Linked DNA regions of Tamandua tetradactyla. The protein of the gene in region 3 interacts with the protein of the main gene of each other region in a pairwise test. Links are inferred from orthologs where the notes say so. Each region holds a gene or a part of one and is shown on either strand. Other genes may lie near its edges.

Region 1 (6,921 bases), on a different chromosome or scaffold from region 3:
CCATGAGGTTCCATGATTCTCAACTGATGAGACAAGATTCTCCTTTTCCACCCAGAAAATGACTCCAAAGACAGAAAAGGTAAGGCAGCAGTAGAACCAAATTAAGAACCACAGGGACAAAGCTACGTAGCTCCCTGACACTGTCTGGTTGTGTGCTACCCTCACCACCCTCAATCTCAGCAGCTTTAACTGAACCTGTAAGTTCTTTTCAAAGTCCAAAGTCACATTAAATCCACACATACACGCATGATACTATATGCTAATAGAGATGTGAATGCAGAGTTTGCAAATAGTCAAACTGAGGGGTCGTAGAATATATTTATAAGATATGCAAATCTTAAAATGCTCTCCAAGTATTCAAAATCCAGATCCACTCATTGCTTTGTAGGGGCCGTATCATTTCATTCACCTACTGCAGCTTTGCCCACTCCCCCAATACCTCCCCCACACTACTGCTTTGCCCACCCTTCCCAGCATTCAAGTCTACCTTCATTAGTCCTTTTCTAGAAGCTCTTAAAAGATCTCTTTAAAAGACCTCAGAATCAGGACCTCATAAAAGAACAAACAACAAAATTCAAATTGTGCTGGATCTGGAAAATTTGCATTCCGCTAAAATTAGATTATTTGCATGCTATGGTCTCATGACGCCCTCTATTCATGTGTGACCCTTTGGTAAGTGATAAGGGTGGAAGCCCAGGTCTGGGTGGGGGTCTGAGTACAAAGCCCATGCTCCACCCACTGCATTCTAAGTTCTCCCTCCTCCACCAAAGGATGAATTCCTCTAAAGCAAGGCTCAGATCACTCATTCTGTTCCTCTAAAGCCATCAGTGTCTCCCAATGCCACTAGATCAAGTCTAAACTCTTCACCTGGAATTCAAAGATTTCTTGATTTATCCCCATCTCACTTCTCAAAGTATGTTTCCTTATCACTCATTAAAAAAAAATAGTAAAAAAAAATTAAAATTAAAAAAGGCACTAGAAAACAGAAAAACACAAGCTCCTCAATCTTAGTACTGTGGAAGAGAATACAACCAAGCGATTATCTGGTCTTCTTCAAACCACCAGCCTCGAATCCAATGTGAAAGTCCAGAGATGCGTGCCTGGTGTTTTCCTTCCTTCTTCCTAGCCTTGGCTCTTGCCCCTCTGCCAAGATGGGTCCTTCCTGCCAGATGACAGATCTGACCCATCTTCAAGCTTTGACTCAACTACCACCTCCTTCCCAAAGCCTTCCCTGATCTGCCTACCTTCCCACCTTTCCCTGACTCTCCCTCTGGAACGCCCACTGCTCTGCGTCTACGCCACTTACTTTCTGCTTTGAATTTTACTTATCATCTGCCTTGCTGAACACTCATTTTGAGGGCAGCCCCTAACATGATTTGCCTATCCAAGTTCTCGGTCCAACCCAGACAGGCTATCCTCCCACTAATCAGCTTTCCACAACTGTTAAATGCAAGATGTGGGGTCTCTAGTTTAGGTATCAGCTCCCCTCCTGTGACAGCAAAGAGCCTACTGGGATACCTCCCTGGGGCCTTATCTAACTCTTCTCTGCAATCCAGCCTTTGCCCTGGCACAAGGCAAGCACCGAATATTAGTCAACTGGACATTTTATAGTATTCATTGCATAACAAGGAAGAAAGACACAGAGAGAAAGAGGCAGAGACAGAGACAGAGGAGAAAACTTTTGGCATAACTGTCCTGAGATTGGCCTATGAAGATCATTAAGGAAAAATGAATAAAATACTCCCACCTTCTTCCCACCCCATTACCACTGAGCCCCCACCCCCACCCCCCGCTTGCATAAGCAACCGAATAACTGGGAACTAGGGATGGTGTAGCAGTTCTAGGAAGCAAGTACTAGACGGTTGGGTGGGGGTAAAACTATCATCCCAGCCCTCTCCAAGATGTGCAGGGAACTTCCCCTATCAGCCCACTACTCTCTCCGCACTGCCGAGGGCGCGACTGGGCAGCGCACCCATCCAGAAGGAAAGGGTGGGAGGGAAGCTGGCGGCTGTGGTCATTTTGGGCGCTGGAGGGGGGATGTTTAAACCGGGAGGGCACGCAGCACCCCTAGCCGACTTCTGTCGGACTAGACCTTCCCCCATTTCCTCCTCCTTCCCAGACCCGCTCACCCTCGTCCACGACAAAAGCTCTGACCCTGAGTCTCGAGCTCTGGGGCCTGCGGGCGGGGCCCTCCAACAAAGAGAGCGCCCCGGCCCGCGAACTCGCCAACCCGACCCCGGCGCGCGAGCGCCAAGACACGCATCGCTGCAAACTGACACGCAGACCAAGAGTGGAAAAAGGGCGGTGGCGTGGTTCCGTGGTTTTGAAAGTGGTCACGGCGCTAGGGGAGGGAATGCAATCCCAAACCGGCCGCCGAAGAGTCAGGGTGCGAGTGCTCCGCACGAAGACAGCGGCTCCTCACCCCAAGAACCCTCCATCCCGCCTCCAGCACCCGCCACGACCCGAGCGCCCAAGCCAGCGCCTCCCGCCACGCAGCGGATTACCGAGATGGGCACTCGGGAAGACCGGGACTGGGCGAGCCACGGAGGCCGGATCGGTGAAAACCACAGCTCTCCTTCTGGCTGGGTCCGGCTCCTGTGATGCCGACACAAAGGGGACGCGCGCGCGTCATCCTACCTGGTCTCGGCGCGGCCGGCGCTCCTCCGGGGCGTGGGGGCGGCTGCCTCCTCTGGTCTGTGCCCGCCTGGGCTCTTGGCGGCGGCCGAGCTGCTGCTCCTTCGCCGCGGCGGCAGCGCGGGACTCCGACGGCTCTGGCTCGGGTGCCCGCGGCCCGGCACTGGAACGCGCGCTACCGCCGCCTCCACGCGCGCCCCGCGCAGCCCGCCCTGGGCCACACCAGGCAGCGGCTCTTTATTTCATCCCCGCCCTCCACCCGTTGTTTTTTTTTTTTTTTTGCAAAGCCCGCGGAGGAGGGGGGCAGAATCTGCGGCGCGAGGGGTGGGGGCCACTAACCCGCACACAAAAACGCTGGGAAACGTTGGAAGCTTCGCCCCAGCAGCTTGCCTTTGAAGAGGACCGAGCCCCCGCCCTGAACGGACACAGCGCCCTCTGGTGCCCGCAGGGTCTTGGCACCGGCTCAGCTAACTTTCAGCTCTGGCCTCCTGGCCCCTTTGGAAAAACTAATAATCATCCAAATAATGATAAGGGCGGCCGATGGTTGCGGAAATGAAAATGCGATTCCTATTTTAGTGACCTCCGAAAGAGGAACGTGTGATTTCAACTGTCTGGGGTGAATATGTCACCTAGCTAGAAGAGAAATGAATGATCCAACCAGACATTTAACAAACCTTCCTAGGCCAAGTGCTAGAATGAGCCACTGACCAGGCAAATATGAATAAACCGTTTGGCTTCTCAGAGCCTCAGTTTCGAGCTCTGTTTGATGAGGATCTTGCTGGTAAAGGCTGAGCTCAGCTTAGTTCAACTTCTTCGCCCAACTTAACATGAAACATCTTCTCATCCCACCACCAAGTTTGTTTGACAAATGGAGAAGATGGGAAACTGTCTGATGCCACCAGGTTTATGGGTATCTGAGAATCACACATAACAATTCATTTCTTATTCTTAATTAAAGTGTTTAGTTTGCTGAAAATGGAATTCCTTTAAGATTTACTTTTGCCACACCCTCTAGTAGCTAGGAGTTATACAAATTCTAGGTCATATGTCTGTCACACATGCATATTGAACAGAAGTTATTTGTCTGAATGAAATAATACCTCCTCCAATTCAGAGATTCTCTTTTCTCCAGAATTATAGGGAAAACCCGCAGTAAAATCATCCTTCCTGGGCATAGCAAAACGCTGCCTGGTGTGAAGTCTACCTCTGCTTCTTACTAGCCTGGTTTCTGTAAGTGAGTTATTTTTATCTCTTTGTGCCTCAATTTTCTTACCTGGAAAATTAAAGTAATCATACTATGTATATAATGGAGGTCTTATGTGAGATTGTATGAATCATAGAACACAGGGCACAGATCACCATATTTGACAATCATAAGTGGCAATCCATTTCCCCCAAACAATTACACCAAAATACTTAATTATTTTAAAACACTACATAATTTGTCTACCTCTGCTACCTACATATCTATTTTAAAAATCATATCTATCTCATCTGCACTGAAAAGTTTTTCTGGTAAATATTTTTGCTCTTCAAAAACAGGAGCAAGTACTTGTCTTCTGATGGCTGGGATCCAGTTAGATTCTTTGCAGAAATGTCATTATTCATGAAAAAATACACAATAGGAAGAAAGCTAACAATGACCCTTTGTTATCCTGCCTCTCAATACAAGATTAAAGTAGCTCTGCATAAAAGCCTGGGCTTCATAGAAAATACATTCGCATCTCCTGTATTCCAGTTGGCAATATAGGGAAGTACTAGTAAGAGCACTTCTTATGAATGAGTGATTAAATTAGTGAATGGATAGAGTACTTACTGTAAACGCCCAGAGAATGGAAATTATACCACAATACTGTGTCCCATGAAATTAGTATTGAGATGCAGACGTATCTATGGAAAACCAGGACACAGAAATCAAGTCGGGGGGGCTGGGGAGGAGCATATAGCTAAGTGGAAGCAGACTAAGGTGCTGAGCCATTTCCTTACCTAATCGCATGATTGAGACTTGTGTTTATGCAGCAAAGCGTGTGATTTAAATCCCATGTTTTGTTTGTCTTTGTTGCCGTAACTGCTGTTGGGGAGATGGGCAGAGAGTATATCATCATTGAAAGTCCAGTTTGCAGCAGACCACACCATGCATCTCATATGCAATTTTCTCTATGAAGTCTTAACAATCCATGACCCCACCATCCAAACCTCTGAACATGTATAATAGTACGTTTGTATCTATATTGATTTGTGCATCTGTCGCACGACATTTAATGTTCTGGGTGTTTGCTCTTTGATGATTACAATCTAATGTTCTGTAAAGCAATGATGAAGTAATTTTTCTATGTACCTGCTCCCTTCCATTGGGTCTTGGGCATAGTAAGTGTTCAATAAATAGTGAATAGAATCATCTACTCTGGGCTGTATGTCTGTGCAACTGCCCTGGTTCTCTTCACTAAGAAGCTGTTTGGTTCTCTCAATGACATGTTATACCCATCACTGATAGGTTTCCAGTCCAGCATCCTGCCCTAGCCACAGCTGCACCGAAACACTCTTACCAAGAGGTTTATCATGTCAAGCCTATTTTAAAAGATATCCATTGTTCCTCAGTGTTTATCCCTAAAGGCAGTGTGACTCATCCTATACTCACTGAACAAGAGTCTTTTTGATTGTCTACAAGGGGGAAGAGTCTGTGCTAGACAGTAAACAAGCCAGAGAATTCGTACCATCATAAATGATCCAAAGTCTGGAGATGTGGAAATACGTTTTGAAGTTTCCCCTTAGAATGCAATATTGAAAGAAACACAGACTCACACTCAGGGCTTAAAATAAAATATTTTGGACAATGGAGTTTATATTAATTTGTGATCAATTCTGTGCATACAGAAAATTCCCATTTCTTTCACTTATAAAATCGGTTCAAATTAAAATCCCTATTTCAAGAGAGTGGCAGGAAATTGAAGGTCAGTTGTGGTTGACGCTCTCTCTCTAGGGATATGGCAGATTCTGGGAGATTATTTGGTGATCTGAATATGAAGTGGCATTCCTCAATCCATCTCTGTGTCTATGGATAATCTCACTGTCCAAGCCATGTGGTCTTTTGAAAGCAGGCTGCATTCAGCTTCTCTTCCAGACTCCAGGAAGTGGAGTCCTCTCCAGGCACAGGACTATTTTTTTCCAAACTCAGGATCAAAGGTACACAGGTGGACTCAGCAGCCTGTGAGATTGTCCCCCTTTCCCAGGGCAACACCAAGGAAGAGAGGGAAGTCCCTGCTAGTCTCAAGGTGTTATTGGGAAACCATCCCTTGCTCACAATCTTGCCTCCCTCCCCTCAAAGTCCAGCTCTCCTCCTTCCCCAACCTAGGTATCCCCAATAGCCTCTTCAGTGCAGCCACGGAAGAGAGGATGAAGCAATGTTATTTTCAGATAGCTTCTTTCAGCTCTGCAAATACCCCTGGAGCTGAAACTAGGTTCTAGTTATTTTCCTGGAGTATGTGGAGAAAAAATTCAAAAAAAGCAAACATAATACTATCACAAGAAAATACATGGTCCACATAACAAAACTATAAAAATAGTTTAAGGAAGAAAACCAAAACTTAAAGAAAGTACAAGTGAAGAAGAATGTGCATCCACTTATTAAAAAACAGCATGTAGAAAGTGCCAGAGTGTCATTATACTTCAGAGACTATGTGCCATACAGAAATGCAAATGCCACAAAAGTCGGTGAAATAAATGAGAAGGTTAGTATAGTTACTAAAGAAGTAAAAATATTTTTGCCTGGCATCCACCTGGAAAGTAGAGGTATTGTTTGTTTTATCCACTACTCTAACATGCACAGGTCAGGCAAGTTGTAGGTACTTACTAAGTATTTGTTGAATGAAATAAATGAATTTTGGCTTCTAGAACTGTCTACAAGTACTCCTATATGGCTCTCATGAAAATGCCATAGATTCTAAGTAGACATTTAAAAAATGAAAGGGATGAGAGAGTGAGAGAAAGAGTGAGGAAGTGTAGTATATTCTTTTCTTTTCACATATGGAAGCTTCAAGGCTTAAACAAAGCCATTTACCAGTTTCAAGATCACTGCTAGCCAGTGGCAGAAATAGTGCTATTACTCAAGGTTTTTGGCTTATTCAAGCTTCTTTACACTTTTTATTACATTACTTTTCTATAATAATCAATAGACTCTTGCCCTTAGGGCTTTACAAAATTTTACAGAAGGGCCTTCTCAATTCTGGAGGAATGATTAAATTGCACTTAGCGTTAGGTGTTCATAATTGTGGGAAGACATTTAATGCT
Region 2 (7,101 bases), on a different chromosome or scaffold from region 3:
TGGAACCCATACCAAACTCTGATCTGTTCTACAACTAATTGTTGTGTCATGCTTTGAAATTTCTGACTCTTTTGTATATATTTATTTTCCACAGAAAAGAAAAAAGTCAACTGTGATGATAAAAAATATTCATTCCTTCTAGCCTCCAGTGTTCTAGAGCAGCTAGAAGGAAAAATCTGAGATGATGGAATGGTAGCCCATGCCAAACTCTGGGATCTGTCCTTAACTACTTGTTGAAGAGTGCTCTGAAAACTATTGCTTTTTTATTTCTTTGTTTTGTATATATGTTATATTATACAATTAAAAAGTTTTAAAAAATCACAGAAGGTCAACCCTAATTTTACTGCTAATTATTTACTGGTATCTAGTGCTTTATTAAACCCAAAGAGGCACATTTGTGATATGCAACCCCACACAGCTTATGTAAAGACAAAATGGGGATGTTATGACCCCTCTGGTAAGCATTAGTTAATAAAGGCAAATAGTTCAGTCATTTGAGACATCAACATAGCCAACTGGCAATGGGGTGAGGAAGAGAGCTCATTTATTTCCCTGGGTAAGGGTTAGCATAAATCAAGACAGATGACGGAAACCTCCGTGCCCTGCTCCAAGACCTTTCTATTGGGATCAGGGACCCTTGCTAAGTATCTCTCTTCCTTTCTTATGACCTAATTCATACATGCAGGTTAAAGCTCCCCTCCTCAATGGTTATGATGAAAATCAATACAGACTTTTCATCTTCTTTTGGTAGAAGCGATCCATGAGTTGAAAACTGAGACAAAACTTTTCAGAGTGATCACTGTTATTACATGGCATTACTTACATTCTGAAAAAAAACTTCCAATCTTTTCAACCTACAATTTTTGCACGTACTTCCACAGGACCTGGACAACAGATGGAACCCATACAATCATATACACCTGCGGCTACCAAAACTGGAGTGGGAAGAGGAAGCAGAAATCAAACAACTTGAGTGGCTGCCTGCCCAGCTTATGCTGATTATCTCATTTCAATGGTTCAGATTGCTAATGATGTTTCTTTGAAATCACATCAGCTTATGCCTCTTTCCAGCAAGCATGATGGCTAATAAATACCCACAAATGAACAGGATGAAGGGATCAATGTCATACCCTGAATTATACCACACTGCATTTTTTAGATATGAGAATGTTCATAGGACATTATATGGAACAAACTATATGAAATAACTAAAATCTGGAAGCAGTCCAAATCCCATCAGCATTAGAGTGACTAAATAAATATCTGGTTGATTTACCAAAGGTATACTATACAGCAATGAAATTTTTAAAACTACTGCCTTACACAATATCATAGATGAATCTCACAGTTATAATGGGCACAATAAACAGCCAGAAAAATAAGGCATAGTATATGTAATTCAATTTATAAAAAATTCAAAACAAGGTTAATCTAACATATGGTGCCAAAACTTAGGATAAGGATTAACTTTAGGAAAGATGGAGTAAAACTACACAGTATTTTATGCTGCATTAAAAAAAATCAAGTGGAAGATGAAATTACAATGGAGTAAACATTATTAGCTCATTGAAACAAGGATTGAATAAAAGGCATCAAATATAATATACTTGTATTTTGTAGAGTAAGTAAATCTTTAGCAAATCACTCCTTACTCATTGCAAAGTATTTTTTATAGAGGTAGGGTCATATCATGCCCTCCTCTGAGTGCTTTCACAAACATCATCTCATTGTATACTCACAACCCTTCAGCTTAGGTTTTATCTTTCACATTTTATAAATGATGGAACTGAACACTGATAGATTAATTAACTTTACAAAAATCACACAAGCAATTACAGGGACAACATATAGTAGAACTCAATGGACCAAATCAAGTGAATTTCTACTAGATGACACTCACCTCCCCAATAAATTTATAGGTGAAATCAAGCTCCCACTTGTTCTCCTATCAAGTTCTTTTATAGAACGAGGACCAAAATAGAAGGCTGATGCAAAACGTTTAATTCTATTTTTAAATGTCTACTTAGCACAAGAGGCCAGGTGTTCTGCCTGAACAAATCAGACATTATTCTTATATTAGAGGAACCCCAATCTTGATCAAGAAGAGAAACATAAAACATACATTGGGAAAAGACTCCAACAACTCTGTGTACTTTGAATTCTCAGCATTGGCCTCTGCAAGAAGGACGGGGCAAGTTTCCTGTAAGAGAGAAGAGTTAACAGTATGACTCAAAAGTCTATCTCAGTACAAGATCCTGTTTTGACCTTGTTCATCTGCATGCTGAGAATATAAAGTTGTCTGGATCCATGCCAGAGGGGATGAAACCATCTGCTAAAGCCACACATGCAGAAGCTCTACAAAGGCATGTTAGGATCTCCTAACTATGCAACGAGAGCCAATTCACACCTACCCATTACCCAACTGAATTTCTCTGCAGTCTTAAGGTCTCATCTCAGGTAGATGCATTCATTGACCCAGTTAAATGAGGAATGATATGAAATTTGTTCTTAATTTACAGCTGACTAATGGAAGAGAAAGAACTGCATACCAGAAAAAACAACTAATATATACTTTAGATGCAAACATTGTCTAACAGATGACAAGAGATATTTATCAAAAGTTGCAGCCATTCATTTTTTTCCTTCATACCCCTCCTTCCCAGTCTCCTATATCTTTTTTCCTATGGTAGTCAATGAAAACATCAGACTCACTATTCTCCCCTCTCCCCTTCCTCTGATACCATCTACTACCCCTGCATCTTTCCATGCCCACGTCTATCATCCACCCACACATCTCCATGTGAATAAGGAGCTCAAGGATCAAATGTTAGACAAACTCATAGGGAATTAGTTTTCAAGAGGCTAATAGATTCAAGGTTTTGACATGGAAGAGTTCAGACTCCAATTTTAAGGATAAGGAAAACTTCAGGGTCACCATTACCATTTCAGCTATGCTGTAGATCAAATAATCGTTTATACCTTGGCTAGAAACCTAACCTTGCAAGTATAGTATTGTTTCCATAATAAAATGAGTTCCAAGTTCTGAACAACTGACTTGTAAACAAACTTTTGGAACACTGAACATTCCTAAGTTTGGGCCACCTACAAAAACTTTATTCCCAAGTTTCTCTCTCTTTACAGCTACAGAAGAAAATACAGAGTATAAAATGTATTTAACTGGGTCTTGAGATTTTTCTCTCTTTACTTAGAAACCGCTTCAATGAGAAAGCAGTTGGTGATGACCACCTGTTCCTGAGAATCCTAGGCGAACTTACTCTCCCTACTTTGCCCAATGAGAGTCACTGGATCCACTTCTGAATAAGTAGTGACTATAGAGGAGAGGACCCCCAAAATTATGATGAAGAAAGGTTTGGAGAGGACTTTAATCACTTTATATTGACAAACAAACACAGTGGAGCTGTGGTTCCTGTAGCCCAAGGCAGAGGTTGAGCTTTAAAGCAGAAACCATTACCCTATCTTCTATGAATGTTTGGTGTGTGTGTGTGAAAGCAAGGAGCCCTAAATAATGAGAAGGAGGAGACAGTGATGATATGTTTCAAAAGGGGGAAATCATTGATGTCACACTATATTGCCAGAGTCTGCTCTTACCTTGTTTTCTTTTCAAAGAACTGTAGTCATGGGTTAAACCTGGAAGGGAACTCTTAAACTTCTCCATGTAGCAATCAGAGTGTCCAGAGTGGGCTGTGGTCAAAAGAGACAGTGAGAAAAGACAATAGTCAGATCTGCCTACCAGTAAAGGAAGTTGCCTTCAAATCCCTTGGCAGCCATGTTTGCAGGATGTAATGAACCCTGCTTCTTTGAAGCTGATTGGACCCAGGATAGTTGCCTGTCTCAAATGGAGCCAATCAGATTCTCTCTCCCAGGAATTTGGAATTTGGATTTAGGGATAGCTAATCTCTGTGCTGCATTGAAGCTATGCAGCAGCCATGTTCCATTCATCTATATGAGAAACAGAGAAAGCCACAGTGAGAACAATAAAAAGAAAAGGTGAGATAAGAGTTAGAGAAAGAGAATAACAATTTTCCAGTTCCCAGTTCCATTTCCTTCTGGGAACCAACTGCATTCCTATCTTTGGGTTCCTCAAGACACTAGCATCTTGTCCATATAATAACATTTTCCCTTTTCTTGTTTAGGCTACTTCAAACTTATTTCAGTGATTTGAAACCAGAAGAACTTTGATTAACCCCCATCAAAATGGATGGATAAAGTAAATCAGCATCATGCTATGAAAAGAACATAGATTTCTGAATCCACTAAATCTGGGCTTAACTCAATATAAACTACCTAGTCCAAGATAAATTTCCTAATATCTCCGAGCCTTAATTTCCTCATTTTTAAAGTCTAATAAAATATAAATGTTTAATGATGATAAGATAAAAGCTGTCACATATAGTTGTGAAAGCCGGAGGGTTATATACAAAATCCAGAAGTTATGAACATATAAAAGAGATATCTTTAATTCTTGACTTTGCAAAATAACTCAAGCCATTACTTTACATTATAAGTTCCCCTAGTTTGTGTAAAGTATCTTTTGATTCTTAAATATTTTATTCAGATATATCATCTACCACAGGTTATTTCTGTATTTATGGGGAAATTCTAAGGGAAATCCCAGTGACAACTCTAGCCACCAGATCACTTCTTTATCAATTCACCCCTCTTCCCCCATCAATTTACAAAAGAACAATGGCTCCGGTCCTTGTGGACATCAGAGACGCCTTTGAGAATATGATCACTCTGTGAGCTCTCACTGCAGAAGATATGTCCTTCTGAATTTTCATCCATTCAAAAGACATTTATAGAAGTACAAAAGTTTGCACATTTTTCAGTGTGGATGGTCGTGCTGAACATCATCCATGAATCCTCAATAATTGAACAGTCTGGTAAAGTTAACTTTTTACTTGGCAATACCTTAAATTCGCTATCCCAGGTCCAACACACCATCACCCACAGACAAGAGAGAACCTACCCTCGCCCCGACGCCAGCCAGGCTAATACTCTTGCTGAAATGCCACTTGTCCGGGAGGGGATGTGAATATTCCCAAAGTAGTCTTTGCATAATCTGCCACAGACCTTACTCTCTACTATATTTTAAGCACAGGTTTACTTGTACATATAAATACCAAACTGTGAATGTGGGCAGAAAATGTGCCTTCTCTTTCTAGGATTATGCTTCAAACAGGAAGTATTCAATAAATGATAACTAAAAAACATACAATATTTTGTAAATACCAGCTGTGCTGCTGGGGGGGGATATCTAAAGTTGCCTTTTTTCCCTTTCAACCTCGCTCAGCTACAAGAGAAACATCTTTCTTTATTCGCCTCCCCAGTCCTTTGCTGCTAAGCTCTTCATACTCTCCAGGAAAAGTATTATTTGGCGGTAGGAAGGAAAGTATTTCTTCAGAAGTGAAGCCATACAGGCAGCCTTTATGGATAGCATCGTCATTTTAATGCTTTCTGAATTCTCAGAATCTGTAGACATCCACAACATTAGCATTTAAGTCCCCCTCCCTAGTACTGTTCCCTTTCCTAGCAGAGCTACAGAAATAGAATGTAAGTGCCACAGTGATATCATAAACCACAATTCCTGAAACCACGTAGTTACTTGGAGGAGATGGCACATCAGTTAGGACAGTGGTTCTCAACACTGGTCATATGTTGGAATTACCTAGGATGTTTTTTAGAAATTACACTTGCCTGAGTCCTATGTCAAACTAATTAAATCAGAATCTCCGGGGGTGGGCCCAGGAAGCACTATTTTTACTAGATCCCCCAAATGATTTTGAGGTGCACCCAAGTTTCATTAAGTAAGAATTGGGTTTGGCTACATATAACAGGAAAAAGTAGCAATCTCTTAAGAAAGACAGGTTTTTTTCTCTTTCACATTAAACATATTTTGGGAAAAGTCTGCAGGTAATAGAGCATGCACTGAAGTTCCATGAAGTAATTCAGGACCCGAGCATCCTCTATCTTTCTGCGCTACCAGCTTTGTGTCAGATTTTTATTTTCAAAATCACTTCATGTTCCAAGATGGCTGCTGGAACTCCAGCCATCATAACAGAAACCAGAAGAAGGAGAAAAGCAGAAAGGAGCAAAGAAGGTGCATCCTCTCTTTTTCAATAGTCTTTCTGTAAGTTCCCATAAAATTTCTACTTAAATCTTATTGGCTGGAACTTAATTGTGTAGCCACACTTGGCTGCAAAAGAGGTTAGGAAATAGGCCTCAACTGGACTAACATTTTGCTAAAGAAGAAGTTAAAATTAGAATCTGGGAAGGCAATGAGTAGTCTCGGCCACAGGTGAAAAAAATCAGTAACATGGCTGTGGCTCACTGTAGAGAGTGAAGCTTGCTCTCTTTTGCTAGAATCAACCAAGTTTTTATGACCTTAGAAGACAAGTGTATGACATGAAACGTGAAGTACTAAAACAACAGCATTACCTTCTGCCATGGTCGAATAAGCTGAAGACACAGAAACACGTTCACTGGCAGGGTCTGTTATCTATAAGGTCACAATGAGCTCAGTGAGCTTCAAAGGTTGGGCTTAGGATCAAAGAATATGTGTTCCCTCTACAATACCCATCCTCCTTCTGGGCAACATATGCGTCAAACCAGGAGGTCTTTTTAAACATAACTCTAAGCTAAAAACAGACACAGAGAACCTCCTACCTAACACTGAGTAGCAGCACTACAAAGAGGTAGTCACTCTTGGCAAAATAGATCTTCCAATACTCTTACTAATATTTGACCCTGAAGCCATTCTTAGATCTAGACTTCATGTGTGATCAAGCAACTAAAAGTAAGACGCTTTTCAATAATGGTAGAACCTTTTTTGCACAGAAAATAGATATCCCAAACTTCTTACTTTGGTGTCCCACTACCTCCTTTATGCAACTTGCCCTAAAACTCCCCTTGCTCCCTCCATCTTCTTTTAGACACTCAGTGACTTCACACCCCCCAACCTCTCAGGTTCTCCACCATAGTATTCCCAACTGCAAGGCAGCTCACCTCCATACTGCCTGTAATGGCCTGTGTCTCAGTTCTTCCTAGAAGCAGTGAACTAACGCCTCCCAGAAATGATGG
Region 3 (7,619 bases):
CCCCTTCCCTGGCCCCAGCACAACATGACACAGTGGACAGCAGAAGCCAGCAAAAGTAGGCCCCTGTTTTGAGTATGTGTCAGGCCTGGCGCTAAGTACTTGGTGAGAATTCTTTGATTTCAGCCTCACCACAGCTCTGTAAGTATGAGGTGCAGGGAAGATGTACATAACTTCTCTCAGATATTACAACGTGGGATAAAGCTCTCTCAGGAACCCTTTCTCCTAAAACCAAGGTACTTCACCTGTACCTCTTGCCCTCTTCCTAGAAAATCACTAGGTCCCAACTCCCCCACCACCCACCCTTCCATTAGCATCTGCTGAGTGCCCCACAGGACATGAGTGGATGGTGCTTATGGCAGATTTATGCAGCAAAAACTCCACCTGAATACACCTGAGGAAGGAAAATGACTCAGGCAGACCACAGCAGAGGAGAACTCTACATGCCAAGCTGAGGAACATGGGGGCAAGGAGTGAATTTGCCCCCGAAATGTGACCCAATCATCTGGATATCCGTGAATTCTCTCAACAATCATTTACTGAGCATCCTCTACTGACACTCGTCTAAGACAGAGCCCAGTCCTCAAGAAGTTCCATGGAAGAATGCAGGAAACATGAATGTGATTACATGGTAACATGAAATGGGGAAGGAGAGATGAGGAAAGCTGGGAGGTATCACAGAGGCTGCACGTTGTGAGCTGGGTCCTGCAGATTAAATAGGAGTTTCATGCAGAGAAGAGGAAGGGTACCAGAGCAAAGGGACCAGTTAGGACAAATGTGTACACTGCACCCCATGGAAGGGTAATAGTTACTACAGGAAAAGAGTCCCATAGGTATATAAGTTTGGGAAACACTGGGCTAAACCAGTTTCTTTACTGCAGGGTTTCCCAGAGCCTTTATTGTGGGTTATGATGTGAGCCCTTCACATGCAATACCTCTCAAACATATTTAACCAAGGAACCTTTTTGGGGTCCATTCCGTGCAACTACAGAGACTTAAAAAAAAAAAGATGAAAATTAATCAAAAGCAGGTCTTATTTCTTTGGTATACCTAGTTGGTATAAACCAGCAGTTTTGTCCCCTGCCCTCCAGGGGCCATCTGCCAATGTCTGGACATATTTTTGATTGTTATAATGGGGGGGGGGTGCTACTGGCACCCTGTGTGCATAACGTCCTACAATACACAGGCCAGTCTACTCCGGTGAAAAATTATTTGGTCCAAATGTCAATACTGATGGGACTGAGACTGGCAGAGAGCTCCCAAACGCAGCCCAAAGTTGGGGAAGAGTCCTTTAACCCCGTGATCCGTCTGAATTTTCTCTGTCCCCCTCCCTTCTATCTTTTAGCCCATCCTCTGTCTCTCGTCATACCAACCAACTGCTCCTGGTGCCTTCTGCATAAACATCATTTATCTTTCACCCCAAACTAGAAGGAGAATTTGCTACTACAAGTTCTCATTGAGTGTCTTGAAGCTCAAGTTAAAAAAGAAAAGCTCTGGAATGGACATTTTCCTGACTTTAACTGGGAACATTCAGGAATTGATGTGTTATGAGTTCTGCCAAATTTTCCCAGAAAATGTTGCAACCAAGCTAGGACACACAATTTTTTCCTGAAGCCAGTTCAGAAAATCACCTGATTTACAGAAAGAGAAAATGAAAGTACAGAAGTCACTCAAAGAGCCGGCAGCTCAACTCCCAGCCCCATCACTTCCTTACCGGGTGATAGTGAACAAGCAACTTACTCTCTCTGAGCCTCATTTCCCCATCTGCAAAATGGGGTGCTATTGCTTATCCCACCTGCTGGCCGTGAGAATGAGAAGAAATAACCGACCTGAACTGCCAGTGTAACAAACACTGGTTCCCATCTCTTTAGCACTCGGCTGCAAGAATTCTCCAGCCAACCTCCAGCCTACCTTGGGAGTTCAGTTCTTCCAGGCTGAGCCTGCTCTCAGAGCCCCATTCAGACAGCATCTTCTCCAAGGTTCCCTCCTTTACCCCCTCAAGCCTGTCCCTCTACTCTAAGGACTAGAGGACACTTCTGAGAGACACAAAGGCTGTGGGATGGGCAGCCTTACTTCACCAGGATTGCTTTTCCTCCCCCATCTATCTACAGTCCAGTTCCCCACTCGAGCTGGCCTTCTCCAGCTCGTGCCCCGGCCCCCTATCCTTCCAGAACACATGGCAAATTGTGTACCTGATTAGAATGAAAGCTCAGCCAGAGCAAAGATTTGTGCCAGCTCCTTCACCTCTGCCTCCCATCCTCCGATGAGATGACCCATAAGAGGCATTCAACAACATTGGTGGAACGAATGAATGAATGCACACCACCATCTCCAGGAGACCTCCGAGGTCACCTTGGCATCTTTTCCTCCCGAGAAGGCTCGGGGAATGCGGCCCGAAACTCGGAGTCAACATCTTACGTTTCCTTGGACTTTAATAAGAAAGGTAACAACCTAGGGGCGGCCACAGGCTGTTACTCGAAGGCGAGGACCTTGTCCCCTTTTATTCTCTGCTCATAACCCTCTTTTTCCGCCAGAAGAGTGCATGACACCAGGAAGTCGCCAAGGAACCCTGGCTGCAATTGTTCCCTCAAGTTTCTGGCAGGGGAAGTGAAACTGAAAGCAGCATCGGGATAGCCTGCAGTGGGCTCGTTCGCACTCTCAGCAAAGCTCGGCGGGGGGGAGAGCGACAGCCCCGCTCCGCATGGCCCACCCCCCACCCCCACCTCTAGCCCCCTCTCGCAGACGCACTCCTCCACTGGGGAGGGAGGCGGGGATAGCAGATTCAGCCAACCCTGGTATCCAGACAAAAATGCACCGGGAGAGCCGGGGTAGGGAGAGAGAGAGCGCGGAGGGAACCGGGCGGCCGCGGGAAAAGGGGGTCATCCCGTTGGGCGTTACCTTCGCCACCCGCTTGCTCGCTGTCATCTCAGGACCGAGTGTGAGGCTCCGGCGGAGTCCAGCTGCACAGTGCACCGGCGGGCGGTCTGGAAGCGCGCGGCCGGGGTGGGGCGAACTCCTCCTCCCCGAGCCCCGCCCACGCTTCGCTCCACCCCCCCCTCCACCCCCGCCCCGCGCACCCACGCGGGGGCGGTGCGCGGACTCCGCGGAGCTGCGGGGAGGCTGCCGAGGGGGCGCACCCGGCCCCGGCGCGGCGGGCTCGGGTCCCGGGAACTCCCGCTCTTTGTCCGGCGGGCCTGGGAGCGCGCGGCGGGACCTTGTGTCCGGGTGTCGCTGGGGGTGCGGGGGTGGGGCGGCTCCGTGCACCGGGCAGCGGGGGCGCGGGGCTGGGGTCCGCCCAGCCGGGTGCGGGTCCCAGCTCCTCCGCCGGGGCCGGCGCCGGGAGCGCCTCTGCATCGACCTCTCAACCCCTACCCCCAATACACTCTCGTCCTGAGCAAAGACAAGGGTGGTCGCTGCGCAGGCCAGCTCCGCGGCAGGTCTCCGGACGGCCCCTGCCCATCAAAAGTCGCCGCCCCTGGCGAATGCCCGAACCCCCATGGACAAGTTGTGTCCCCTCTCCGAGTCCAGTGCCTTGTCCCTAAAAGTAGATGGGGGGCCGCGTAGACTAGGTGCCCTCCAAGGGCCCTTCCCCCAGCAGCCTTGGACTCTCACTTGCTGACCAGTAGCTGGCGGAGAAACTGCAAGGACGCTGCTCCCAGACACCATAAGGGGGCGCTGTTTGGCTCAGTTTTCTCTCGCTTTGGGGGTTGGGCCGTCCATTTATTTGGTCCTTTACTAGGCTTCATGTATATCGTAAGTGCCAATACATGTCGGTTTGGAAAACAGGTGGGTGGAGGGAACCCCGAGACAAACTTCAGGAGTTTCCCCCCAGAGGGAAGGCTGCCTCCCTTCTTTTCTTGCTGGTGCCTCCACAACTTCAGCCTACTATGCACCCCCATACTCAGCTAGGAGTCTCCTTCCCTTTATGCAAGCGCAGAGACCCCTTTCCCCAACCTGAAGCCGAGGCGTTCTGGAATAGTAAGCCCTGAGCACCTAATAGCGTCCGGGGGGAAGAATTTCCTAGAAGTGGTGACACGCAGAGATTTCTTGGGAGGAAATGAGCCCTGCTTCCTCACCCTCTCCCCACTTCTGCCCAGCTGTCCATCAAAGGGAGTCTGGTTGAATCAATTATGGTACAGCCACACAGAGGAATATTAGGCAGCCGTAAACAAGAATGAGGAGGCTGGTTATGTACTGCTAGAGAATGTCCTTAAAGATATATTTTAAGGGATGAAAACAAAGTATAGCAGGGTGTGAAAATTATATTACCATTTGTGTAAATAAAGGAAAGATAATCTTTGCGTGTGTATGCCTAGATGTGTGCTTCTGTGTGTATTTCCGGAAAGATACAAGGTACAGGCGCAGTGAAGGTTTCTTGGGATGGCAACCAGGGGACTTGCATAGGAATGCAAGGAAACTTTTTTACAATAAACCTGATTTCCTTTTAAATTTTTGAACAATGTGAATGGACTACCCTTTAGAAAATGAAAAATGTTTAAATTGAAAAATAAATATTCTTTTTAAAACTGAAACTTGTTGACATTCGAGTTTTTATTGCTAGCTTCTGTTTTAAAATGTGGCTTCTTTTTGCATTGTGACTGCGTGATTGCAAAAACCTTGTGTCTGATGCTCCTTTTATCTAGGGTATGGACAGATGAGTAAAAGATATGAACAAGAAAAGAAACAAAAACTAGGAGGAACAAAGGTTAAATTGAGTAGTTTGAAATACTAGTGCTTAATGAGAGGGAGGGATAAAGGGTATGGTATGTATAAGTGTTTCTTTTTTTGCTTTTATTTCTTTTGCTGGAGAGATACAAATGTTCAGAAAAATGATCATGGTAATGAATACACAACTTTGTGATGCTATTGCTAGCCATTGATTGTACACCACAGAATGTTTTATGTTGTTTACAATAAAAATATTAATAAAAAATGTGTTATGGTAATATGCAAAAAAAAAAAAAATGTGACTCTTGGCAATACAAAGCCCAGGGTCCCCATTGACTGCCCTTTTATACCAGGTATGCACGCCCTCTTTGCCGCAGTCCTCACCACTCCCTATTCATCCCCACCTGGCCAGCTTCACCCTCTCTTTTAGCTGCCTGGCTCCTGGAAGGAATGCCTGCTCTGAAGTTTCTCGCCCTTGCTAACTTCTTATCTCTCAAGAACTCTCCTCTCCTTTCTCCCCCAGGATCAGGATTTTTTGTTTTCCGGGATGATTCTGGCTTCGCAGATGTAGGCGTGAAGCTGTCCTAGGAGGTATGACAGCTCCTCTTCCCCACTCAGGATGTTCCAAGGACTTCACAGGGTGAGGTTGGGGAGAGAATGTTGGCATTGTCTATCCCTAGATGAGGCGGGAACTTCCTTTCAGAGGGGGCTGTCTGGGTCAGATAAAGGCTCAATGACAGAGCTAGAGTAAGTCTCAGAGACTACCTGAAAAACAGGCAGGAAATATATTAATACATGAAAAAAAAAACCACGTTTCATGCACCATAGACAGTAGACATCTTACCTGTGTGTTTATGTAACTAAACTTGAAGGGTACTGAGGTGACTGATAGAGTGGTGATCAGTTGGGGAGGAAAATGATTTTGTCAGTTTACAGCACACCCTTTCAGGCTATCCAGGCTATTTCATCTTCTTTGAGCTTTTGTACAACTTGGTGAGAAATAAAATCTTGTAGGCCCAACACGGAGTCACCCATGCTAAGCCTCACGTTAGCGAAACAGTAAACTTAAGCTACTTACTATTTCCTGTAAACGCTGGGCTTGCCCAGGAAACCAAATTTAAATACGGCAGATAAGTTATCGCCAGCTAATCGGTTCCTAGCAGCCACCTGCTCCTCACTTCATAAAAACACACCCTCCACCCCACCTAAAATGGAAACTTAATGCCAGCCAATCCAAATATTTCCTCCCTTGCTTCCTCGTCTGCCCAGTAAGAGTTTCTCCCTTCCATCTCCTGGGGCCAGCTGGGGGTGGGGAGTTTCCTTTTACTTTCTGAATGGGGTGCTGCTTGATTCACGAATAGCTCAAAAAGCTGTGGGATCCTAAACTGCATGAAAAGTTTTCCTTTTATCATCAGTAAATTTTAGCAACTGATAACAATGCAAAATAATTCTTGTAGACATGCAAATTCTTTTCTCTCCAGTACAGGTTTAACCGACTTCCTCTCTGTTTTAGTTGTTAAAGCTGCTGGCATGTGATATACCAGAAACAGGACAGCTTTTAAAAAGGGAATTTATTAAGTTGCAAGTTTACAGTTCTGATTCCTTGAAAATGCCCAAACTAAAGCATCTAAGGAAAGATGCCTTGACTCAAGAAAGGTCCAGAACACCTGTCAGCTGGGAAGGCACATGACAATGTCTGCTAGCTTTCTCTTCTTATTTCATAAGGCTTCCCTGGGGGTGTTTTCCTACTTCATTTCCAAAGATCTCTGGCTATGTGGGCTCTGTTGGCTCTCAAGCTTTTTCTAAAATGTTTCCCTCTTAAAGAGCTCCAGTAAACAGCCCCACCTTGAATGGGTGGAGACTTAGCTCCACAGAAGCCATCTAATCAAAAGTTACACCCATAATTGGGTGGGTCACACCTTCATGGGAATAATAAAAAAGATCCCACACAGCAATACCGAATGAGGATTAAAGAACATGGCTTTTCTGGGGCACAGGACAATTCCAAACCGGCACATTCCACTCTTTGGACCCCCAAAAAGCATGTTCTTCCCAAATGCAAAATACATTCATTCCATCACAATAGCACAAAGCCTTAAACCATTTCAGTAACAATAAACAAATGCAATATACAGAAACGGTACAAAATCTCATCAAAGTCAGCTATAGACCTGGTCTGTCTTAAGGCAAAACTCTCCTCTGTCTGTGGACCTGTAAAACTCAGAACAAGTTACCTGCTGCCAATGTACAAAGAAGGGGTATTCATAGGATACATATTTCCTTTTCCATAAGGAGAAATTGGAAGGAACACAGGGGTCACCATACCCAAACAGTTCTGAAACCTACAGGGCAAACTCCATTAGATTTCAAAGTCTGAGAGTCATTTATCCTCAGAACTTTAGAAAGCAGGAGCCCCACTCTTTCCAAGGGTCTGCTCAGCAGCTCTACCCTCTCCAAACGCTGGTGTGGGGTTTGCAGTCTTGAAGGACACTGGGGAGAGCACCTTTTTCTCAGCTCTGCCCTTTCCGAGCATTGAGGCAACAACCAGGCTCTCTGCCATCTCTGGGGCACACGTTCAACCCTTCCAGGATAATGGGGTGGCAGCCAGGCTCTCCCCAGTCCCCCAGGAATGTGCTCCACCCTCTCCAAGGTCTGGGAGACAACTCTTCCAGAGCATCCAGCGGGGAGACTCACCCTCTGCCTTTGGGGCAAACTCACCCTCTCCATGTGTATAGATGGGTCCACTCTCCTTGCCCGACATTTCTTGTCTTCAAACCTTAGCTTCCATGGTTCTGCCTCTGAGGCTACTTTTCCTTCAATTTGTCCCTTTTCTGTCCCTTTTAATCCAGACTGGCAGTGGTTCCATTTATGCAGATTCTGCAACACTTTTGTTGATTTTCTATGTCGTATGAAGAGAATGTGACTATCAGACAATAGGATTTTCCAGAGATCCT
Region 4 (7,644 bases), on a different chromosome or scaffold from region 3:
TCTACCAGAAGAAAAAGTTCTAACCTAAAAGTAAGGCTGTCTGGGACTAGCTACAAAATCTTGGAAATGACACCAATCTACCCTTTGTCGTCCGGTTGTCTTCCAAAAGAAAAGAAGGGATAGTAAATAATGTCTGTTCATGGGATTATTGCTTGTGGAATGACTTCACAGAAACAGAAACTAATAAGTTTTGAACCTTTCTTATAAGCTATTGTTACATTTTAAATACTCAAAAATTCCATTACTAATCCCATTTTACAAAATGAGGAAACCAAGACCTAAAGAGATTAAGCAATTTAGTGTTCACACACTGGTTGGTGGCAGAAATAAACTTCTGCATCTCTAAAGTTCACTCAACTGCATCACAATACAATTTATAAAGTGCTATATAGATACTTGTCCAAGGTATTGTTACCATATTTGTTGGACAAATAGGTTTATAGACAGAAATTAGCATAAATAACCTACTTCAACAAGTTAGGAAATCTAGCTTCAATATCAGATAATAAAAGAGGTCTTGTTTGCATTCATTTTCCAGTTCAGTGAAATTTAGTAAGTCATTTAGAAGCGCAAATGGTATTAACAGCACTCACCATCTCCAGTGTAGGAGGAACTCTGGTTAACATTTATAAAGTGGAAGGGACCAAGTGAGTTTGCCAAAAGGAAGAATATGGAAATTCTGCCCACAGCCAGAACAATGGACATAGATTTGTCAAAACAAAGAACAGTAAAGTGAGGGAAGGCAATTTGTCCAGTCTTTGTAATGCTGTTTATGACTATTTTTCCAGTTGCTGGTTTCCTAGTCACTCTAACAAAAAAAAAAAAAAAAAAAAAAAAAGACTAAACACAAGATGCAACACTTTGCAAACTGATATTATTATTATTATTATCCTTTAGCAGAAGCAAAGGACAAGAAATACTGTCAACAGTAGGTTATAGCTTTCAAAATCCAAACCAGGGGAAAACAATTTCCAATCAGATAATTACAAGAGCAAAGCTGCTCATTCCATTTTGTAAAAAGGAAGCCTTAACACTTGATGCCCACTGAGCATCCTCCACACAATTTTAAAATCTTTAATGCAAACAGGGATTTAAATGTAAGGTTAGTTATTAAAAAATAAAATATGATTGTATTTTATACTGTTAGGCAACATCTTGTTTTTCCGTATTGACCTTTGGATATGATGTCAGTGAACTGTGTTTGGGACAGCTGGGAATCAACATCAGTAATCAGAAATGAGTTTGATCAGCCTTGAGACTAAAAAAAGCTGCAACAACAGCCGCTGAAAATACAGCCACAAAATAATACCTAGGACATTGTAAACTGTATGGGCTGCATTTTTTCTTTCTCCTTGGCTGGCTAGGATAGGCCCTTGAGTGGTGCTTTTGTCCAGTACTAGGCTTTCGACGTCAAGGACCACCCCCACCTAAATCCTCTTAAAACGTTCTATGCACTTGCACTTATTTGCAAGCCATTGCGGTATTGCCCTGCCCCTTAACACTATAGAAAGCCGGCTGTCCAAAGAAGACATTAGGTGGATTTTTGCTCCTGCTTTAAATCCCCCGACACTCTCACACACATACCCATTCACCCCCGGGGAGTTGGGGAGGGGAAATCTAGCAAGTAAACGAAAACATGAATTCACAAATCCAACTCCGGCTACTAGCTAGTCAAGCACACATCCAGGGTGTACCGATTTTATACAGGGGCTTTGTTTCTAAACTCTTCCTAAAAACTACCTCGGTTTTGCACTAAAATTGAGTTTTAAACAGTACGTAATGTTTAAGGAAGATTTTATTCTACATGTTCCATCCATTTGGGGGTGGGAGGGTGTCTAAAGCAGATAACCTTCAATCTCCTGTCTGTTGTTGGGTTTTAAACGGCTCCATTCACAGTCCTGGCGCTTACATTCGAGCCCCAAACCCCATCCTGACACGTTCAGTTAAACTCTAACCAATACAGAAAGTCATTTGGGCGTTTCAGTTTGACTTGATGTTGGAGGGGTCTGGGTGTCTATGTTGGAAAAGGGAGGTGGGGCTGCGGGTAGAAAGACAATTTGCCCAGATCCTTGTTTGTCCAAGAGACTAGCCTCTATGGGCGTCCTGGAACACGTGCACAGCGCCAGCAAAACAAAACCCGTCGGGGTTCTCGCGGAAGAAGGAAGCACAGCCTGTTCAACCCAGTTCTGCTGAGCAACTGTGCTTTGCGGGAACCCCTGCCCTGTAGCTGGGCACCCCTTCTCTTTCGGTGCCAGTGCGGGCGCTGGTCTTCCAGCCAAGAGCACCCACCCCAGCTGGCGAGACCTGGCTGTCGGCGGGACCTCAACCTGGGATCCCCATACCTGGGGCTTCGAACCTGGCATTCGGGACAAGGCAGCTCTGAAGAGACTGCAGGGCCCGCTAGTTCCTATTTCCTCCTTTCACAATACTGTCTCTTTCGAACTGGGTATTTTTTTTCCGTGCCTCCTACCCGACAGGTCTAGGCTTGTCCCTGAAGCTTCTGTCTCCAGCAGAGGGAAACCGATTACTCCGGTGCACTGGTTGCTGTTAAACCTCTAAGTCCTCCGCTCCCCAGCATCATCCTCCCTAGGCACCTTCCCTATGGGGTGGGTGCGCAAACCGAGCTCCTATGGCACTTACACGTGGCCGCAGCGAGTCCGGACAGGCTGGTGCAACACCTCGAGGCACACTGAGCAGTCGAAGGACGTGACGGGCACCTCGGGGTCCTCTCTGCGCTCCTGGGCCCGCAGGGTGGCCGAGGCAGGCGCAGATTTGCCGCTGTCGCTGCTCAGCACAGAGCCCATCGCTACGCCTCCCGCCCAGACGGCTGCCAAGAGCTCAGTGCTGCAGCCGGGTGGTTTTATTGTTCTGCGGTGGAGGAAGGAAGTCCCGGCCCAGCTGCGATCGCCGCCTCCCAGCGCCCGCGGCTAGCGCAGCCCAGAACCAGCCTCTGCAGCTGCGCCCAACCTGGGTCTAGAGCGAGTACCTTGCGCGGCCGCAGGTCTGGGATTATCTGTCGCGAGCTGCCAGGGTTAAAGCGCGGAGGCGGAGGCTGCAGCGGCACAGCCCACATGCTGCAAAGTCTCGCTGTCCTGGGAGGATTGAAACCTGAAACCTCAGCGGCAAAGAAGAGGACCAGGGCCTGTAGTGAATCTTCCAGGCTATCACACATCCTTTCCCACTGTCACACTTCAGGAAAGTGCGGGATAGGTCATGCCTTCATGGGAGCCAGAGAGCACCCATCCATCGGTCCTGCATTGTGTAATCTTAATAAGCTACAAAATGACTTAGGACAGATTGAGCATCTCCTCCAACTGTGCTAATCACTACTCAGGTCATCTAAGCAATATCCTATTCATAGAGAGATTAAATGATGTCGTGAAAAGAGTTCTGAAAACCCGGACTCGTATTGCAGCTCTAGAAATAGGATTCTAGTGCTGAATTCTCCTCATCCCCAGTATCCTTGGCTCAGCATTTCGTGCTATTGTTAATACGCTTTTTTTCTTCCCATCCTCTGAAACATGACCGAGCATATAATTCATTCATTCACTCTTTAGCAAAGACCCATTTAGTGTGGCTGCATATGGGACTCTGTCCTGGAAATGGAGGCACAGTTCTGAACAAGCAAACACATTCCCAAGTCTTCCAGAACTTCCTTTAAAAAACAAAATGAAACTTTTTACCGTGAGAGAATTATGGATTCGCATACAATTGTAAGAAATAATATAAAACACACAGATACATAAATGCATACGTCTGTGATAATACATAGATAGAATATATGATAATCTCATATACACTTCACCCCGTTTCTCCCAGTCAGATCTTATTTTATCGATGGGATATTAGTAACCAGCAAATAAATAAATGAACAAGAGTACTCCGAATGACAGCTACAAAGAAGGGACTAGAGATAGGAAAAAGGATAAGAAGGTCAGAAGAGACTTTATGGATGAGGTGACATTTGAGCAGAGTTATGAATAATGAAAAGGAGTCAGCCATTCGAAGATTTAGAAGAAAAGCTGGTGAAGCACTGGGAACAGTGAGTGAGGAAGGAACCGAGACCAGAAAGATGTGAAACTGGAGCATAGGAGGGTCTGAGAGGTACATGGGATAAGATGAAATGGGTACTCAGGGGCCTGTGCGGTCTTATAAGCCAGGACAAGAGTTTGAATTTTATACCAGGCGTTTTTATTTGATTTACTCTGCTGCTATATGGAAAAAGGAAAGAAACAAAGCAAGAATGGAGGCAGAGAAATTAGTTAGGAAGCCATGGAATTAGTTCAAGTGAGAAAAGACAATGGCTTAAACCAGGTAGGTAGAAAGTGAGAGGTGGACAAGTTTGGGATGTAATTAGGAGAAAGACCTAGAAAGCCTTGCTGATGAATTGGATAGAGGACTGAAGCAAAGGGAGTCATTCCTACCTTTAGAAAAAAAACACCCCCACCCCCCTCCTTGATCCCACATGTCCCTCAGCTCCTGTACTATATGGTCTTCAAGACTAAATTTCTTGATCAGGGTTTCTAACTTCTTTGTGTCAATTTCTTAAGTGTTCACTTCTCTTCTAATCCAATATGGTTTCTGAACCAACCATTCTGCTTCCATCTGTCCAAAAACTACTTCATCACCAGTGTCACTGGTGACCTTCAGGTGGCAAAAGCCAATAGACTCTTATCAGTCATTTTCTTGCTCGACCTCTCAACTCTGTTTATCATTATTGAGCACTCCCTCCTTCTTGAAATACTCTGGCTTTTCTTCTTTCTTTCTGGCTACTCTTGTGTAGTCTCTTCTACTGGCATCTCCTTCTCCATAGAAAGGCTAAGTGCTAGAGTTACTAGAATTCTGTCCTAGGACACTTTACCTTCTCATTCCTCACCCACTCCCTAAGAATCTCAAAACTCTCATATATCCTTCTACTATCTAGGTTCCAAAGACATTCAAATCTTTTTCTCCACCCCATGCCACTCAAATACCCTACTGCTTACTTGACATATCATGTGGTTACATCATGAACATATTCAGCTCAACTTGTCCAATAATGAACTCATTATCTTAGCCTCCCATCTGCTGCTTCTCCAGTAATTAATCCCTCTCTTAGTAAAGTGAGCTACCTTACCTGGTAGTTCAGTCTAGAAACTGGAAGTCATTCTTGATTTCTCACTCTCCCTCATTCACATTAAATCAATCACAACCACAATTCTACCTCCAATAGAGGTATATCTCTCAGTAGCTCTTGGATTGATTCATTCTTCTCCATTTCCTCACTCATCACTTATTTTAAGTCATTACATTCTCTTCTATGACCTATTGCTGTAGTTTCTAACTACTCTGCCTACATCTTCTGTGCTGGTTTGGGAGGATGTATGTCCCCTAGAAAAGCCATGTTTTAATCTAAATCCCATTTCATAAAGACAGAATAATCACTATTCAATACTGTGTGTTTGAAACTGTAATGAGATCATCTCCCTGGAGATGTGATTTAATCAAGAGTGGCTGTTAAACTGGATTAGGTGGAGATGTATCTCCACCCATTTGGGTGGGTCTTGATAAGTTTCTGGAGTCGTATAAAAGAGGAAACATTTTGGAGAATGAAAGAGATTCAGAGAGAGCAGAGCAGAATGACACAGTCACGAGAAACAGAGTCCACCAGCCAGCGACCTTTGGAGATGAAGAAGGAAAATGCTTCACGGGGTGCTTCATGAAACAGGAAGCCAGGAGAAGAAGCTAGCAGATGATGCCATGTTCGCCATGTGCCCTTCCAGGTGAGAGAGGAACCCTGACTGTGTTCACCATGTGCATTTCCAGATGAGAGAGAAACTGTGACTGTGTTCACCATGTACCCTTCCACTTGAGAAAGAAACTGTGAACTTCATTGGCCTCCTTGAACCAAGGTATCTTTCCCTTGATGCCTTAGATTGGAGATTTCTATAGACATGTTTAATTGGGACATTTTCTCGGCTTTAGAACTGTAAACTAGCAATTTATTAAATTCTCCTTTTAAAAGCCATTCCGTTTCTGGTATTTTGCATTCCAGCAGCTAGCAAACTAGAGCACATACTATTGCCATCCTTCCAAACTATTATCCACAATGTAACCACAATGACCTTTAGAAAAGCATATACCTTGTGTCATCTCACGCTTAAAACCATTTAATGGCTCTCCACAAACTGTTGGATTAACTTCTAAATCCTTAACATGATCTACAAAGTCCTGCATGGTATGGCTCTTTCAACAACTATAATCAAGATATTTTTGGTGGCAGGTAATGGAAATTCAACTAAAAGTGTCTTGATCAAATTTATTGCTTATTTGATAAAAGAGTCCAGCATAAGTAGTTCCAGAGTTGCTCAGCAGCTCAATGATGTCCTCAAGGACTCAGCCCCTTGCATTCCCCATATCTCAGTTTCTCTCTGAGATGGCAGAAAGATGGCAACATCTCCAACAGTCACATCTACACACAACAGTCTCCAAAAACAGAAAGGAAGTGATATGATTTCCTCTTTGTAACTCTCTCTCCTTTTATATGAGAAAAAAATGTGTCCTCAAAGCCTTCCTCTGCAGACTTTCCCTTGCATCTCCTTGGTCCACACTGGGCCACATGATGACCTCTAAGCCAATCCCTAGTAAGAGAGTGAGAATACTCTGAGTGACTTAAATTCATTAGTACATATCCCCTAGGACTGCCTGACATTACCGTCTCTCAAACAACCGTTTTTGGCTTCATCTGCTATCACTCTCCCCCTTATTTCTGTGCTCCAAATTTTTCTGTACTTATTTCAATTTCTTGAGTGTACTGAATTCTCTTCAGCATCAGGGAGAACTTTTTACACATGCTTTTTTCTCTGCCTGGTCACTCCTACCTTCCACCCCACCACTCCCAACTCAACTTTCTCCAATACAAAGTCTTCATTTGGAAGCCTTTCTAGACCACATCTATCTCAGACATTCTCTTTGCTTCTTTCCATAGCATGCTGTATTTGCCTTACTAGGTAATGGATGCTAAAATACCTGTAAGATAGGAGGTGATACACATATTTATATATGTATAATACCTCAATCAAAATTTCATGAGGTAGATATTATTCTTATTTTATAGGCTCAGACATTAACTTAGCAAAGGTCACATAGCAAGAAAGTGACAGCACCAGGATTCTGTTTGAGACTTTTAGAAACATTGGGCATCAGAAACATAGATTAGTATAAAGGATACTTGAAAACCTTTGTGGTAGTTAGATTCAGTTGTCAACTTGGCCAGCTGAAGGTGCCTGGATCTACTGATGTGTACATGAGCCAATGGCGTATGAACCTCCTCTGTTGCTGATTACGTCTGCAGTCGGCTAGGAGGTGTGCCTGCTGCAATGAATGATGTTTGATTTAATTGGCTGGTGCTTAAATGAGAGACTCAAGGTAGCACAGCCCAAGCAGCTCAGCATACCTCATCTCAGCACTCACAGTTCAGCCCAGGTGTTTGGAGATGCAGAAAGAAATCACTGGGTGAAAGTTGTTGGAACCCAGAGGCCTGGAGAGAAGGCCAGCAGAGATTGTCCTGTGCCTTCCCAAGTAAGAAAGAACCTCAGTTGAAAGTTAGCTGCCTTTCCTCTGAAGAACTAATGAAATAAGTCCCCTTTTATTGAAAGCCAATCC

The links.
Region 1: the proteins of UBE2L6 (region 3) and RNF144A interact in a two-hybrid assay, tested with the Homo sapiens proteins (2 studies listed by BioGRID and IntAct). The link is inferred for Tamandua tetradactyla from reciprocal best matches to the Homo sapiens genes UBE2L6 and RNF144A.
Region 2: the proteins of UBE2L6 (region 3) and RNF144B interact in binary tests that used the Homo sapiens proteins (3 or more experiments, as listed by UniProt). The link is inferred for Tamandua tetradactyla from reciprocal best matches to the Homo sapiens genes UBE2L6 and RNF144B.
Region 4: the proteins of UBE2L6 (region 3) and RNF125 interact in a two-hybrid assay, tested with the Homo sapiens proteins (3 studies listed by BioGRID and IntAct). The link is inferred for Tamandua tetradactyla from reciprocal best matches to the Homo sapiens genes UBE2L6 and RNF125.

Annotation. Positions count from the first base shown.
Region 1 is NC_135329.1:52,296,949-52,303,869, reverse strand, and holds the start of RNF144A (E3 ubiquitin-protein ligase RNF144A), read right to left. Parts: upstream 3,003-6,921; 5' UTR 2,974-3,002; intron 2,790-2,973; exon of another isoform or gene 2,638-2,789; intron 2,628-2,637; exon of another isoform or gene 2,505-2,627; intron 1-2,504. UniProt on the Homo sapiens protein: E3 ubiquitin-protein ligase which accepts ubiquitin from E2 ubiquitin-conjugating enzymes UBE2L3 and UBE2L6 in the form of a thioester and then directly transfers the ubiquitin to targeted substrates.
Region 2 is NC_135351.1:21,508,536-21,515,636, reverse strand, and holds the start of RNF144B (E3 ubiquitin-protein ligase RNF144B), read right to left. Parts: upstream 3,002-7,101; 5' UTR 2,945-3,001; coding exon 2,942-2,944; intron 2,201-2,941; coding exon 2,123-2,200; intron 1-2,122.
Region 3 is NC_135335.1:20,005,903-20,013,521, reverse strand, and holds the start of UBE2L6 (ubiquitin/ISG15-conjugating enzyme E2 L6), read right to left. Parts: upstream 3,020-7,619; 5' UTR 2,923-3,019; coding exon 2,896-2,922; intron 1-2,895. UniProt on the Homo sapiens protein: Catalyzes the covalent attachment of ubiquitin or ISG15 to other proteins. Functions in the E6/E6-AP-induced ubiquitination of p53/TP53. Promotes ubiquitination and subsequent proteasomal degradation of FLT3.
Region 4 is NC_135344.1:51,166,215-51,173,858, forward strand, and holds the start of RNF125 (E3 ubiquitin-protein ligase RNF125), read right to left. Parts: upstream 3,019-7,644; 5' UTR 2,805-3,018; coding exon 2,641-2,804; intron 1-2,640. UniProt on the Homo sapiens protein: E3 ubiquitin-protein ligase that mediates ubiquitination and subsequent proteasomal degradation of target proteins, such as RIGI, MAVS/IPS1, IFIH1/MDA5, JAK1 and p53/TP53.